2 linked regions of the Macaca fascicularis genome follow. The protein of the gene in region 2 purifies or fractionates together with the protein of the main gene of each other region. This does not show direct contact. Links are inferred from orthologs where the notes say so. Each region holds a gene or a part of one and is shown on either strand. Other genes may lie near its edges.

Evidence for each region. The genes of interacting proteins can lie anywhere in the genome.
Region 1: the proteins of NDUFS3 (region 2) and UQCRC2 fractionate together in Homo sapiens (co-fractionation; 3 studies listed by BioGRID and IntAct, with this or other methods). This does not show direct contact. The link is inferred for Macaca fascicularis from reciprocal best matches to the Homo sapiens genes NDUFS3 and UQCRC2.

The regions. Positions count from the first base shown.
Region 1 is NC_088394.1:20,931,945-20,939,901, forward strand, and holds the start of UQCRC2 (cytochrome b-c1 complex subunit 2, mitochondrial), read left to right. Parts: upstream 1-2,791; 5' UTR 2,792-2,866; coding exon 2,867-2,899; intron 2,900-6,706; coding exon 6,707-6,790; intron 6,791-6,888; coding exon 6,889-7,038; intron 7,039-7,957. UniProt on the Homo sapiens protein: Component of the ubiquinol-cytochrome c oxidoreductase, a multisubunit transmembrane complex that is part of the mitochondrial electron transport chain which drives oxidative phosphorylation.
Region 2 is NC_088388.1:18,256,415-18,264,218, forward strand, and holds the start of NDUFS3 (NADH dehydrogenase [ubiquinone] iron-sulfur protein 3, mitochondrial), read right to left. Parts: upstream 5,174-7,804; 5' UTR 5,156-5,173; coding exon 5,089-5,155; intron 4,980-5,088; coding exon 4,914-4,979; intron 3,789-4,913; coding exon 3,691-3,788; intron 3,479-3,690; coding exon 3,329-3,478; intron 2,218-3,328; coding exon 2,092-2,217; intron 1,958-2,091; coding exon 1,838-1,957; intron 1-1,837. Other genes in the region: KBTBD4 (kelch repeat and BTB domain-containing protein 4), read left to right, coding at 6,160-6,823.

The DNA of each region.
Region 1 (7,957 bases), on a different chromosome or scaffold from region 2:
ACCCGGCTAATTTTTGTATTTTTTTTTTTTTTTTCAGTAGAGACAGGGTTTTGCCATGTTGGCCAGGCTGGTCTTGAACTCCTGACCTCAGGTAATCCACCCACTCAGCCTCCCAAAGTGCTGGGATTACAGGCATGAGCCACCATGCCTGGCCCCGGGAATATTTCATCAGAGATAATACTTGACAGGGTAGGATTCTGAAAGAAATGGGAAGGAAATGCCAACATCGAAATTATGCATTGGAGAGCCATGATTAATGCCTCCAGCCCTAAGATGGCAAGGTAATGTTGTTCCCAAGTATAAACCCACATCACTTTCCTTTGGTGTGTTTTACTCCTACTGTTGCCTCCTTTCCCTTTACATTCTCCCACTCCATGCACAAACACACTCACCATGAGGGCTCAGGGTAGGTAGTTGGGCTCCATGCAGTCAAATTGGACTCCACGTTAACAAAACTAACAATTCGAGCTTTCCAGCAATGAACTCATCTGCTCTTCCATGTCTACTCTTCCTGTCTGCTGGTTTCCACTTCCAGGGCTTTCAATGTGTTCTACACAGAAACCAGTTCAAGGACTGGGTTTTCTTCTGCAATAAAATGCTAGAGCTGTGGCAGAGACCTCCACTGTGAGAGCAGCCATGGAATTGGCTAGGAAGTGACATGATGTGGAAGTGGTAGATGTGTCCACAAGATGGCACTCCTAATTTGTAGTTTAATGCTTAATAGGACCTTTTGCAATGGACAAATGGGATTTTATGATTTATGTAGCTGGTGTCATGAATTATGTTTCAAATCCTGCCACATTTTGAACAATTTATTTTTGCCCCTTTCCAATATTGGGTCATAACCTAAGAATGAAAGGACATTATAAGCAGGGGTGTGTGTGTGTGTGTGTGCACTTGATCGTGGAGACTCGTGTGTTCCTCCTACCTTACCTGAACTGTTGAATGAAGTTACAATGACTGGACTCAGGGTCGCAGCTAACTTGGGAAATGGGATTTTGAAGTACTGGAAACAGCTTTGTATGCCATGTTAATGAACTTGAACTTTATCCTGAAAAACGTGGCTGTCGCAGGTGGCTTGATCACAGCACTGCTTCCCAAATTTCACTCAATGGTACCTGTATAATACATTCTTGATTTTTGCTGTATATCCGTATCATCAAGTTACTTAACGTTTTTACACCAACTTTTATTATTTTATTAATGTACTTAAAGAGGAAATTCACTAGTAGCATTGCTTGTCTTAATCAAAATAAATATATTATTAAAATGGAACAGTGCTAAATAAGATGTACACATGGACATAGAGTGTGGAATGACAGACACTGGAGATTCCGAAAGGTGGAGGGGTGGGAGAGAGGTGACGATGAGAAAGTACTTAATGGGCACCATGTACATTATTTGGGTGATGGGTAAACTAAAAGCCCAGACTTCACCATTACTGCAATATATCCACATAACATAACTGTACTTGCGCCCCTTAAATTTATACAAATTTTTAAAAGGAAAAAAATGGAAGTGTTCATCTATGTACCAACTTAAAATCATCTCATGCACCACTAGTGTTAAGTCTACCACACGTGGGGAAACTGTATGGTATGAATTGGGTTGAGGGTGTCCCCAACAGGCACAGAAATTGGGTTGGTGCCAGGTTTTTAATGCCCGGACCTTAAATCGTTAGACAGCCCGAGTCCGTTGTAGGCCTGGAGCAATTCAGACACAAGGCAAAAAGGACATAAATTTGCCTATGCCTTGTAACGTCTACACCACCAGCCTTTCTGAAACTATTGTGCATACGAAATCATCTCAGGATCTTGTAAAAACACCGATTCGGATCCAGTATGGGACCTGGAGTTTATACATTTCTAATCAACTCCCAAATGATATTGATGCTGATACTGTCGGTTTCCCAACGAAGCAACGTAGCAAGGTACGAAACTCTTAAGTCCCTAAAGGGCAGGGACCACGTCTCCCGCGTTAGCACAGTGCCTGGCCCAAGGCACTTTATGGGTTAACACTCGCTGAGGACCGGAGTGAACGCGCCCCCATATCGTCACGTGACTGCCTTTCTCCAACAGCCGGTTTCGGCTCACATAACACACCTACTGTCCAAAACATTTCTATTTTTCTCACACAAAAACTACAGTTAAGTTTTTATATTCTATGTAGCCCCAGCCTAGGACGTAAGATCCACGAGACCAGAGACCTTGTGATGATTCCCCCAGGTTGCTGACCCTCCCGGTGTGTCCCGGGCCTGCTCTGGGGGACACAGCGGCGAATATGCTGAACAAGGCCCCTGTTTCACGGAGCTAAAGATCCAGTAAGGACTTCACCCAGCAAGAGGCAACTACGCTGGGCTTCGATGCCCAGTACCTCTGCAGAAAGGCGGAATGGCAGGAGTCTCCTAAAGTCCCCAATGTCCAAGGACGCGGAAACCCAGGGCCCCCAGTGCAGGTGTCAGTCCGAGGGGCGCCTGCGCAGTCCCAAGAGAGGCGCGTCCCATTGGACAATCCCGAGCGGAAGAGCCCAAGGTAGCGGGGGGAGTTGTGACGGGCCGCTGCAGACGTACTTAGAAAAGGGGTGCATACTGGGTATTCAGGCCAGGAGAAGAACGCAATAAGCAGTGACGTACATTATCTTCTGCATATTTACTTGGGAAATTGTGTGTCTCCCTATTCTGAGTCTTGGAGGAATTGGACTGGTCCAACCTTCTGCAGGGAGCAGTAGAGCGCGGCAGTATAGAGAGTACCCCTCACGAAGGGGACGTGGGAAAGAGGTGGCGGGGAACGCTGGGAAACTCGCGGCCTCCGCCACCATCTTGCTTTCCTTAATCTGGTAGGACCGTGTGTCAGAACAATCTTGAATCATGAAGCTACTAACCAGAGCCGGGTCCTTCTCGGTGAGCTCAAGTGGCGGGTTTGGGGAAGGGCTGGGGAGCAGTGTGTCGGCAAGGTGATACGAGGCGGAGGTGTCTGGTCTGGGGTCTGGGCCTTGGGATTCGGTCTGCCCTTCAGCTGAACCCTGCGGGCCAAGCGGGCTGCAGACTGGGTCAGGCTTTGGAGGCCCAGCTCATTCTGTGAGCAGAAGAGACCTAACACCGGGAAACCTGAAGAGAGGGGCAGGACGTGAGAGCGGAGTTGAAGCGACTCCCTGGAGAGACTTATGAAGGTCATTCCGGCACTCAAGTGCTGGAGAACGAGACCGCGAAACCCAGAGGGAGGGGGAGGACGGCACAGCCTTAGCCCCCAACCTTCACTTTATCCGCTGCAGCCTCTGCTCCTTGGTTTATCACGGAGCATCAGTTTCCCCAGCGAATAAAAGCAAAAGAAAGGAGCTCGTGCAGATATAACACTTATCACAGTGCCTGGAACGTCATTCATTGTTAGTTACTACGGTGTCTTAGTAGTCTAACGTTGCTTTTCTTGATCGTATGTTAGACGGTTCCTCCAAGACGTCTCCGTCCTCAGAAGCTCCTTCCTTAAGTTTCCCCTTCAAACCTAAATTAAACATAGCTGTCACTTGGGGAAAACTCACACATTAGGGTTATATCACGATGGGGCAGTGGTTATTAAGCGGGGTAACGGGGAACACTTTTTAAAAAAATATATAGCGAGGGACAGTATGCCCCCAGGGAACCGGTGGCGATGTCTGGAGACGTATTTAGTTGCAACAACTTGTCAAGAGGGTGATATTGGCATCGAGAGGCCAGGGACGCTGCTAAACTTACCCCTACAACAAAGAATTATCTAGCCCCAAGTGCCAGTAGTAGTACCTGTGTTGAGAAACCCTCCTAAGATGGAGATGCAAAAGACCAGACCTGGGCATGGAATGTTCTTATGCTTTATGTTTACGTGAATGTGCTGTGGGCTGTACCAATTTAAGCTGTAACTGCATTAACCTTCCTGCTATACCTAGACACACCAGTGATTACCCTTTGAGGGAAGCATGGTTAGATTGGTAAAAGACCCCAAAATGTCCTTCTCCATTCTATTTTACAATAGAAAAAGCTCAGAGAAAACAGTTGGAGAGGCCCAAAGTAAACAAATTGCAGTAAACTTGAAAGCAGTTATTTATGTTTCTAATTTTAGCATTTTATATAGGAGAATAAGCTTGATATATCTTGTTATTAGAACAAAATAAATTAGTAATTGCATGACAGTTACTAGGATAATTTGCTGATTTGAATGGGACGATTAAGAAGCACGTTTACCGGTCTGGCGCGATGGCTCACACCTGTAATCTTAGCCCTTTGGGAGGCGGAGGCAGGCGAATCAGTTGAGATCAGGAGTTCGAAACCAGTCTGGCCAACTTGTTGAAACCCCATCTATACTAAAAATACAAAAAAAAAAAAAAAAAAAAAAAATTAGCCGGGCGTGGTGGCGGAAGCCTCTAATCCCAGCTACTCGGGAGGCTGAGGCAGGAGAATCTCTTGAACCCGGGAGGCAGAGGTTGCGGTGAGCAGAAATCGTGCCACTTGCGCTCTAGGCGACAGAGCGAGACTCCATCTCAAAAAAAAAAAAAATATATATATATATCTCCCCAACAAAGTGTCACTATTTGGGCACATTTGGTTGGAAAACACCTAAAGTCTCACTTGGTAGCGGAACTATAGATTATTCATGTTTGAATTGCTATGCCCGTATACCTTAAAGTTTACTTTTTGGAAAATCATAGGTGAAAATTACAAAGAAGGTTAACTATACCATACCCAGCGAACTAAATTGATGATGATAAAGCAAAGCTAATTGTAATTCATAACTGAAAAGCAGTACTAAAAGCAAATGATAACCAGCAGCCAACCTAGTACAGCACTAGTGCTGGATGTACAACAAAGAGCCTTCTGGACAGCACAGAGTGGAGTCCTTGCAGCCTGTGCGGGGATGTCTGGGAAACTCCAGCGACGTGTTCATTGGGTCTTGGGAGCACCAGGTTTTATTCACTCATCATCTCCTCGGATAACCTCATGAACTTTAGTCATAATCAGAATGATTTTTATGGCATCGTATAACATTTGCCCAAACAAACTGAATAAAATGAGTGCATTTTGGGTCCATTATCTAATATTTAATGGGACCCTTTTACCCTACCAGTAACTGCATTTTATATATTGAGAATCCGCCGTGGATGAAGCCATTGTTAACCTAAGGATGACGTACATGTCATAAATGTTTTATTTAGTCAAAAAAGGTAAGACGTTTGGTTGTGTGGTCTTAATGCAGCACATGAGAGTGAAGATACAATGAAAAATATTGAGGACTTGGAGGAAGTTGCTATATACTTTGTCTTTTGTTTTCTTTTCTTTTGTTTTCTTTTCTTTCGAGTTTTGCTCTTGTTGCCCAGGCTGGACTGCAATGGTGCAATCTTGGCTCACTGCAACCTCCGCCTCCCGGGTTTAAGTGATTCTTCTGCCTCAGCCTCCCCAGTAGTTGGGATTACAGGCGTGCGTCACCATGCCCTGCTAATTTTGTATTTTTAGTAGAGACCGGGTTGCTCCATGTTGGTCAGACTAGTCTCGAACCCCCGACCTCAGGTGACCCGCCCACCTCGGCCTCCCAAAGTGCTGGGATTACAGGTGTGAGCCACCGCGCCCAGCTGCTTTGTCTTTTTAAAGGTTACTAAGACTATTAAGGAGATGAAACCATTTCAGTTGGAAAATAGACTGAAGGGGTGAGATTCATTGGGCAGATAAAAGAAGCAAGAAGCTGAAACCTATAAAAGGTTGTGGAGGCAGGCTGGGTGTGGTGACTCCCACCTGGAATCCTAGCACTTTGGAAGGCCGAGGTGGGTGGATTGCCTGAGCTCAGGAGTTGGAGACCAGCCTGAGCTACATGGTGAAATGCCGTCTCTACTAAAATACAAAAAATTAGCCAGGTGTGGCAGCATGTGCCTGTAATCCCAGCTACTTGGGAGCTACGACAGGAGAATTGCTTGAATCCGGGTGGCGGACATTGCAATGACCCGAGATTGCGCCCTTGCACTCCAGCCTGGCACACAGAGCATGACTTGGTCTCAAAAAAAAAAAAAAAAAAAAAAAAGGTTGTGGATGGGGCGATCTGACACTTTTCCAAAAAATGCCAAAGCTTTAGAGCTACAAAGAATGATGAAACTTTTATAAGGTAACTGAAAGTTAAGAAAATACAGCGATTCTTTACATCATAAACAAATAAGCATCAGGAACTCTATAAATCACTAATAAATAGAGGTTTAAGAATAGCTCGGGTAAACTGGTGGGTTAATAAGTTATGCAGCTAGGCGGGGTGCAGTGGCTCATGCCTGTAATCCCAACACTTTGGGAGGCCAAGGCAGGCGGATCACTTAAGATCAGGAGTTCGAGACCAGCTTGGCCAACACAGTGAAACCCCATCTCTACTAAAAAATACAAAAACAAAAACTAGCTGGACATGATGGCACACACCTGTAGTTCCAGCTACTTGGGAGGCTAAGGCAGGAGAATGGCTTGAACCCAGGAGTTGGAGGTTGCAATGAGCCGAGATTGCACCACTGCACTCCAGCCTTAGTGACAGAGGGACATTCTGTCTCAAAAAAAAAAAAAAAATGTTATGCAGCTAAATCCTCCCATGGAGGTGGTTATTGCTCCTTTTACCCCTGAACACCCTCTGTTGCTTGGGTACCCTAAGGTACCATGCTTTTATATAAAGCACTGTTCTTGTAAGAAATGTGTGTGACCTGTGTTTTTTGTGTTTAGAGATTTTATTCCCTCAAAGTTGCCCCCAAAGTTAAAGCCACAGCTGCGCCTGCAGGAGCACCGCCACAGCCTCAGGACCTTGAGGTTAGTCCCACTAACTTGCTCGCTAGAACCCATACATGCCTTACTCTCTTTGGTAATATGAGGACATTCATTATATCTCTACTTTATTTTAAATACAGTTTACCAAGTTACCAAATGGCTTGGTGATTGCTTCTTTGGAAAACTATGCTCCTCTATCAAGAATTGGTTTGTTCATTAAAGCAGGCAGTAGATATGAGGACTCCAACAATTTAGGAACCACCCATTTGCTGAGACTTGCATCCAGTCTGGTAAGTATCTTCATTACCTCAAGTGTTTGGAAATGCTGTGGTATCTTGGTCCTGTGTAAAAGAAAAACTAAAATCAAAGGCTTTATATTTGCTTCCTTGACCTGCCGTAACAAATTACCACAGACTGGGTAGCTTAAACCAAATAAATTTATCCTGTCACAGTTCTAGAGGCTGGAAGTCAAAGTCAAGGTATCTAAGCCAAGCCAAGATATCAGCAGGGCTGTGATCCCTCTAAAGGTTCTAGGAAGGCACAAATCCTCCCCTGCCTGTTCCTAGCTTCCAGCAGTTGCCCACAACCCTTCACATTCCTTGACCTGCAGCTGCATCACTGCAGTCTCTGCCTTTGTTGTCACATGGGCTTCCTTCTGTCTGTGTCCACATTTCCTCCTAATGAGGATACCATTTATATTAGATTTAGTGCCCACCATAATCCAATATGGTGTCATCTTAAGTACTTAAATCTGCAGAGACCTTATTACCAAATAAAGTAACATGCAAACATTCTGGCTGGACATAAATTTAGGGGGGAACACTGTTTAACCCAGTACAGTCCCTTAATGTAAAATGAGAAACCACAACATATTTGCTGCAGAGAAGCACTAAATTAGTATCCATATGAACATTGATATTAGAGCATAAGAAGTCAGTAAACAAAATTTTAAAACGAAGTGCCATAAATTGAAAGAAAATTAACTTTTTTTTCCCATATGCAAGTCTCTTTCAGAATAGACTAATGAATCCAGTAAGCTTGTGTTTGACAGTGGAAATTTTATATGAATGTACTTAATATAAAAATCTATGCTTAAGCTTTTTGTTGAGCCTTGTTTTATAATTCTTAACTAAAAAGGATGCAGGAATTTAGTAAAATTCTTTTTAAATCTGCTCATGACAGTTAGACAACAGATTTTGACATAGTGTG
Region 2 (7,804 bases):
CTGTAGGAGCAAAAGGCAGGCTTGAGCACTAAGGAAGTCCCTATTACAGCTACAAAGGAGCCTATTTTTCACAAGGCTATGGATGACTTCCCCAGTCCAGTTCCTCTCCGTTACTGACTTCTGTCCCAGCCTCTGTTAATAAGTCTCCATCCACACCTGTGTTACCCATCAGATCACATCCCAACCAGCTAGAGTGTGAGATTCCAAAATGTAGGATACCTCTCATGCCCTGCCAGCACCAGTCAGACTCCCCTGCTCACCACTCCTGCATCAGGAGCTCCCAACTGCCTGCTCACCCACCCACACACTCTTATAAGGTAATGGTAAGCATCTGCCCAGGATTATAGTAGTGGGTGGCTGAAAAGAGTAAACCTAAACTGGGAGATACACAACCTCAGGCTCTGGGCCCTTAGCATATTCACTGTCCAGATCTAAAGCGGTACGTTTGACATGGCTTTTCTTGTTACTGGGGGATCAAATGGATGAGGTCAGGATCATCAGGTGCTAGAGTGAAGAGGCAAACCAGGTGAGGCAGATAGCAGGAGTGGGGTGAAAGGGAGAAGCAAGGGAGATAGCCCTGTCCAGAAGTAGCCTAAGAGGGAAATAGGAGCATGCAAAGCACTAACACAGCAGGAGTGACTGGGGACTAAAAGACCAGGGCTGGAGCACCACATCTCAGCATTTCTAAACAGTTACTTTGCTATAAAAGTCACGAGTAATAATAATACACACTATCTTCCTGCAAATAAACAACCTGCAGCACCACTGAAATTCTTTATTCACGTTATTGGTCCCACCTCAGAGGTAATTCTTGAGGGCTAAACATTTGGCATCTTCCCCATCACTGCCTTCCCAGAGAGTCAGGGCAGGGTAAAATAATCCTCTACTTTAGGTTTTAGGGGCAGACTACGTCCTCAAGGCTGCCTTGATCATTAAAATTATCATTACAATAATGGATAGCACTGGCCAGGTGCGGTGGCTCACGCCTGTAATCCCAGCACTTTGAGAGGCTGAGGTGGGCAGATGGCGTGAGCCCAGGAATTTGAGACCAGTCTGGGCAACATGGAGAAACCCCATCTTTACAACAGATACAAAAATTTGCTGGACATGGTGGTGCACGCCTGTAGTCCCAGCTACTCGGAGGACTGAGAGGTGTGAGGATTACTTGAGCCTGGAGGTGGAGACTGCAGTGAGCCGTGATCGCACCACTGCACTGCATCCTGGGTGACAGAGTGAGACCCTGACACACACACACACATAGCATCAATTGAGCCTTTACAATACAGCAGGCTTCATACAGCATTTATTTATTTAGAGATAGGGTCTCACTCTGTCACCCAGGCTGGAGAGCAGTGGCGTGATCTTGGCTCACTGCAACCTCTGCCTCCTAGGCTCAAGTGATCCTCCCACCTCAGCCTCTTGAGCAGCCAGGACCACGGGCATGTACCACCATGCCCCGTTAATTTTTCTATTTTTTTGTAGAGATGAGGTTTCACCATGCTGTCCAGGCTGTTCTCGAACTCCTGGACTCGAGCACTACTCCTGTCTCCCAAAGTGCTGGGATTACAGGCGTGAGCCTACACATACATTATTTAATGCCTGCCACAAATCTATTAGTTAAGTGCTATTATTATTGCCATTTTAAGATGAGAAAGCTGAGTCAGTCAAACCAAGTAACTTGCCCCAAGTTACAAAAATGAAACTAGGATCTGAATCCAGGGCCCATGCTCTTAAACCACCACAATCCACAGACCACATTTCCTGCCATTCCCAGGGATCCCCTGAGTTCCCTGCAAGTCCCTCCCTGAGACTGTTGTCCCAGTTCCAAGGCTCCTACCTCAACGTAGCCAGATAGAGGAAAGTCTTTCCGGAAAGGATGTCCCTCGAAGCCATAATCCGTCAGGATCCTTCTTAGATCAGGGTGGTTAGCAAAGAAGACTCCAAACATGTCCCAGATCTAGGAAAGAGACTCCCTCAAACAGCCAATCCATCAAGACCAACAACAGGGGAAGGGGCTATATGGCATCCCATAGTCTCAACCAGTTCTGTAACTCTGGCCCAGAGGCAGGTCCACCATATCCGGTAACTCACCTCCCTTTCATACCAGTTGGCTGCCTTGAACACAGACATAGCGGACTCAATGGGCGTCAGCTCATCTGTGTAGGTCTTCACACGGATCCGTGAGTTGAAGCGCAGAGACAGCAAGTTGTAGACAATCTAGGGAGAACAGAAGCATCTGGAGGGATGAGATGGGAGTCCCTGGTTGGGAGAGTTCTGCCCTGTGACCCTGCTTTCTATTCTGAACCTCAAATCCTCAAGATTCTCCTATGCTTACAACTACTTCCAAAGGCCCAGGCCACAGCTCTAGCTTAGCATGTCAGCATGCCTGTGTTTGTTCATACTATTCCCTTTGTCAGGAATATTTCCCTGGTCCACCTCACAAGGCTAATTCCTGGTCTCCTGCTCATGTGTTAAGATTCAGCACAAACATTTTCTGTCTTCAAAGAAGCCTCCCAGACAGGGCCAAGTGCCCCTCCTGCTTTCTTAAAGCATCCCCCTAATATCCTTTGTATTATATGTTACTACAGTAAGCTGTTTAGGTGTCTTTCTCCTTCGCTAGAGTGTGGGGGACTCTTGGAGGACAAATACTTCATGTTATTTCTCTCTCCATCCCAGAGTCTAGCAAACAGTAGATAATCAGTAAAATATTAATAGCTAAATGTATTGAAAACTTATTGTGTGCTAACAATTTACTTGAACTATCTCATTGGATCCTCACAACCATTCTATAAGATAGGGGCAGCTTTATATTTATTTTCCAGATAAGAAAATGAAAGCTCAGAAAGATTAAACAAGGGCCAGGCACCGTGGTTCACGCCTGTAATCCCAGCACTTTGGGAACCCAAGGCAGGCAGATCACGAGGTCAGGAAATCGAGACCATCCTGGCCAACATGGTGAAACCCCGTCTCTATTAAAAAAAATACATAAAATTAGCCAGGTGTGGTGGCATGCACCTGTAGTCCCTGCTACTCAGGGGGCTGAGGCAGGGGAATAGCTTGAACCCAGGAAGCGGAGGTTGCAGTGAGCCAAGATCACGCCACTGCACTCCAGCCTGGCGACAGAGCAAGATTCGGTCAAAAAAAAAAGAAAGTTTAAACAAAATATTTGAGTTATCTGAGGTCCCATGGCCGTTTAGTGGCAGAACCAAGATCCAAACTTGAGATCTACTTGACTCTGAAGTCCCAGTTTAACTGCTATGCTCCATTGTTTGTTACAAACTGAAATTAATACCCTTACCCCCAAACCTTCTCAAATCTCCCGACTGACCTCAAAACGGTTCTGCCGAGTTGGGACATCCACTGCTGTCAAGTCAACCAGGGATTTGAACTGTGCATTGGTGTGATCCCTGAGGAAAGTCAGCACTGGGATGATGCCATCAGGATGGATACAGACCTCTAACTCATTGAAGCAGGACACCTGCACACATGGAAGGGAGGGGAGAGGGAACAAAGAGCTACTGAGGGAACAGCTAACTTCAGCTGGAGTCACCTGGCTTAATGCTGAGGGAAAAGTCCAAGGTTGGGATGGAGGAGTCTGTAGTTTCTTTGAAACCAGTCTGCCCACTCCCACATGCTCTGAGAACATGGTTCTTTCTTGGCCCAGACCCAAATAACAGTGGTACGTATTACCTGAACTTGTTGGACATACTTGGGCAAGATTTCAGCCACATACTCTCCAAAAGCTGAGAGCTGCTTGTGGGCCACATCATTCCGTGGTCTGACAGTGGCTGGAAGGAAAAAGCATATTTAACAAAGAAATGGAGAAGGCAAAAGCCAGCCCTGTATCCAGTCTCTTGGGCTTGTAAGGGATGTCAAATCCAGTAAAGGCTCCCTGCAGCACCCTGAGAAAGGGGCATGTGAAAGGTTTCCCTTCCAGGGAATAGAGTGATGAAAACTTGGGGAAAGTGCCACCTTAAGTACACAGTCCTCAGAAAGACTCAATACAGCAGCTGGGGTGTTCACCTCTTCTCAAAATTACTCTACAGTTCTTCCCTCACATTACCTGCATTTCTGCTAAAGCAGTAGTCTCAGTTCTCCTGTCAGACTAAGAGCTGTTTGAGGATGGGAACCAGAACTTTTGCTTCTCTGTAACTTCTTAGCATGTAAGTTTATACCAGGTTCTCAAGATAAGAACTTCAGGGCTTGAGGAGCCCTCACAGACTGTCTCCTTGAAACCTACTTTTTTTTTTTTTTTTTGTATCAATGAGAAAACTGAGGCCAAGAAAAGGGGAAATGCTAGGTCTCCTAACTCCCAGTGCGTGCATCTTGACTGTAACATATGTACATACTCATTCATGCAACCCTAAACCACTGAGCACTCACACATCACAAGCTACGGAATGATGGTTAGGTTTTCCTGCCTCTGGCAGCAGGCAGGCCTACTTTGTCATTCACTAGGTCTCTGACCCTGGGCAGTTTAATTCTTTGGATTGTTTCCTGATCTATAGTAAGAAGAGTAAGATACTACCTACCCCATAAGGCTGTTGTGAGGACGAAATAAGATCATTCACTAAAACGCTTAGCGAGGTGCCAGGCACACATTAAGCACTCAACGTGAGGTACTATTATTACAGGGCTCTAAGGACTAAAGGGCACATTGCTTGCTTTCGAAGAGCTGAGAGTTTAATCAGACAAAAAGGGGACCATTGAAACGGACAAGGGACAATCAGGGCCATAACAGAGAGGCCTAAGGGTACAGGGAGGGCTCGATTCTGCACGCAGGGTGAAGACCACCGCAGTCAGGTCTCCAAGATTTGCCAGGAAGACGCAGGGAAGGGCATCCTAGGGCAAGGACAGGCACCTAGGGGGCCCCGCCGACAGTTCAGGGAAGAGCGCTGCCAGCACATACTCACGGCGCGTGTCGGCCCCGGCGCTCTCCCGCCTCACCGGCAGCAACAGAACTGAGGGTCGCCCAGCCCCTGCACAGGGAGATAAAAGGCACAGACGCGCGGGGTGAGGCCTGAAGAGCTCTCTGCACTGGGCACGCCGCTGCGCCTGACCCCGGTCTCAGCTAGCTGCCCCTCTCACCCCTCGTCAGCGCCGCGGCCCCCACGATTCCACGCCACCACAGCCTAGCTGTCGCTGCCGCCGCCATGTTACCCAGACACAGACTAGGCAGCGGACGGAAAGACAGCAGGAGACGGAGCCCCAAGGGCACGGACCGGAAGCGGAAGTGTGCAGCAGATCTTCTTCCGGGCGGACGTGGAGCCTGAAGCAGAGGTTCCGGGCTCCGGGATGAAAGGAGGGAACGCAGGTGAGAAAGCGAGACAGGCAGGTAGGGAAACCGTAAGGTGAGCGTGGTCCTAGCTCCGTGTGGCAAAGCCTGGAGAGAAGGCGAGGACGCTGAAGAACCAGACGGGTGAGAGGAGGGGAGGGGGCGGGCGTTCTGGGTTCTGCACTACACACCCCTCCCCCGCTCTCAGCCAAGCTTTTGACGAGGGCGGGCGAGCCTGAGTGGGAAGAACGGTTTCCCTGGCGACGGTTTCCCAGGCGACTTCAGGTGGAGCGGGGATATTGCACAGGGCGATGGGCCTCCCAGTGCCCCGGCCTGAGGGCGGCTGGACTTGAGTTCTGGGACGCAGCCTTAGGGAGTCTTTCGAGCGAGCGGGGAAAGTAGCTCAGAAGAGAGCAAATGTGAGACTGACGTATATCCCAGGCTAGGCCTCATATGGAGCGTCTTAACTCCATGCGCGGGGAAGGAGAGGACCTGGCCACTAGGCCAGGGCGGGGGGTCCTTTTTGTCTGACTCTGCTGCCCCGAACTTCACTAGTTTTATGCCCCAGTTATTTGGTTAGTAAGGCTTTTACGGTCACAGGCCTCCCCCAGCCCTTTGCTTTCATATATTGACCTAAATCCCAAGTCTTTTGTTAATATCATGGAACGGAATTATTCCGTGTTTTCTCAGGAAAACACCCAGAGTTGGAACTTTGATTTATTTCATTAGCGGAGTGGTGCCACTGGGGAGAACGAACCCAGGTTTGGTTAAAGGATAGCGTCAGGGACATCATGGACAGGACCAGGACTAAGGCCAATCTGGACCCACTTTGCTGTCACTTCTTCCATTTCCCTCCCTGAGTTGGACAGTTGGATTCACAGATTATGGCTGTGAATTCCGCAAGTTACTCAAGGTGGTGTTGCTTTGCAGACAGCTGGCAGAGAGAGAAGTTGGCTAGCATGGAATCACCAGAGGAGCCTGGAGCATCCATGGATGAGAACTACTTTGTGAACTATACTTTCAAAGATCGGTCACACTCAGGCCGTGTGGCTCAAGGCATCATGAAACTGTGTCTAGAGGAGGAGCTCTTTGCTGATGTCACCATTTCGGTGGAAGGCCGGGAGTTTCAGCTCCATCGGCTGGTCCTCTCAGCTCAGAGCTGCTTCTTCCGATCCATGTTCACTTCTAACCTGAAGGAGGCCCACAACCGGGTGATTGTGCTGCAGGATGTCAGTGAGTCTGTTTTCCAGCTCCTGGTTGATTATATCTACCATGGGACTGTGAAACTTCGAGCTGAGGAGTTGCAGGAAATTTATGAGGTGTCAGACATGTATCAGTTGACATCTCTCTTTGAGGAATGCTCTCGGTTTTTGGCCCGCACAGTGCAAGTGGGAAACTGCCTTCAGGTGATGTGGCTGGCAGATCGGCACAGTGATCCTGAGCTCTATACTGCTGCCAAACACTGTGCCAAGACCCACCTGGCCCAGCTGCAGAATACAGAGGAATTTCTCCACTTGCCTCACCACCTACTCACAGATATCATCTCGGGTAAGTTTAGGGAGGGGACACAGCATACGAAGTTACTTGGCTGTGATGTTCAGTGAATGTTCTAGTTTAGGAGAAAGGAACCCTCATGCTTCCTGGTGTTAATTTACATTATTATTCCTGCATTCTTACTGAGATAACCTGCTAAGAAAGATTGAGTTGAGATTCAGTGTAATTGCTGTCAGAGACACAGTGTGTTAGAGGAAGAAGCCAGGAAAATTAAAGCACAACACTTAACCACACAAAAGTACTGAGGAGTGATTTGTATTATACTCTAATTTCTCCTGTACTTTGGATGTCCCGGTGGGTCTAATTACCTATGTAAATTGGTGATGAGGTAAGATATCTAAGACTAAAAACTTTTTTAGTGATGGGCCAACGTCAGGAAACAATCCTAACCCTGCAAGTGAGATATAACCATACTTAAGGTGTGAGGTTGGCTAGGCACGGTGGCTCACGCCTGTAATCCCAACACTTTGGGAGGCCGAGGTGGGCGGATCACCTGAGGTCAGGAGTTCGAGACCACCCTGGCCAACATAGTGAAATCCCGTCTCCACAAAAAAATACAAAAATTAGCTGGATGTGGTGGTGGGCACCTGTAGTCTCAGCTAATTGGGAAGGCTGAGGCAGGAGAATCACTTGAACCCGGAGGCAGAGGTTGCAGTAAGCCAAGATCATGCCACTGCACTTCAGCTTGGGCAACAGAGCAAGACTCCATCTCAAAAAAAAAAAAATAGTGTGAGCTCTATAGCTTAGTAGGTTGCTTCCGTGGCAGATGGGAGCATATCGAGCCATCCATTTTGATTTAAAAAAGCAAGGCACATATTCTGGTTTTTCTTCAGATTGTCTAAATATTTTGCCTTTTACTAAAGATTTCCATGGAGAGGAACAGTTGTGAGTCTTTACCCAACTTTTTGAGGCCTCATGTAACACGAGACTACTTTAAAAAAAAAAGCAAGGCATGCCAGGCATGATGGCTCATGC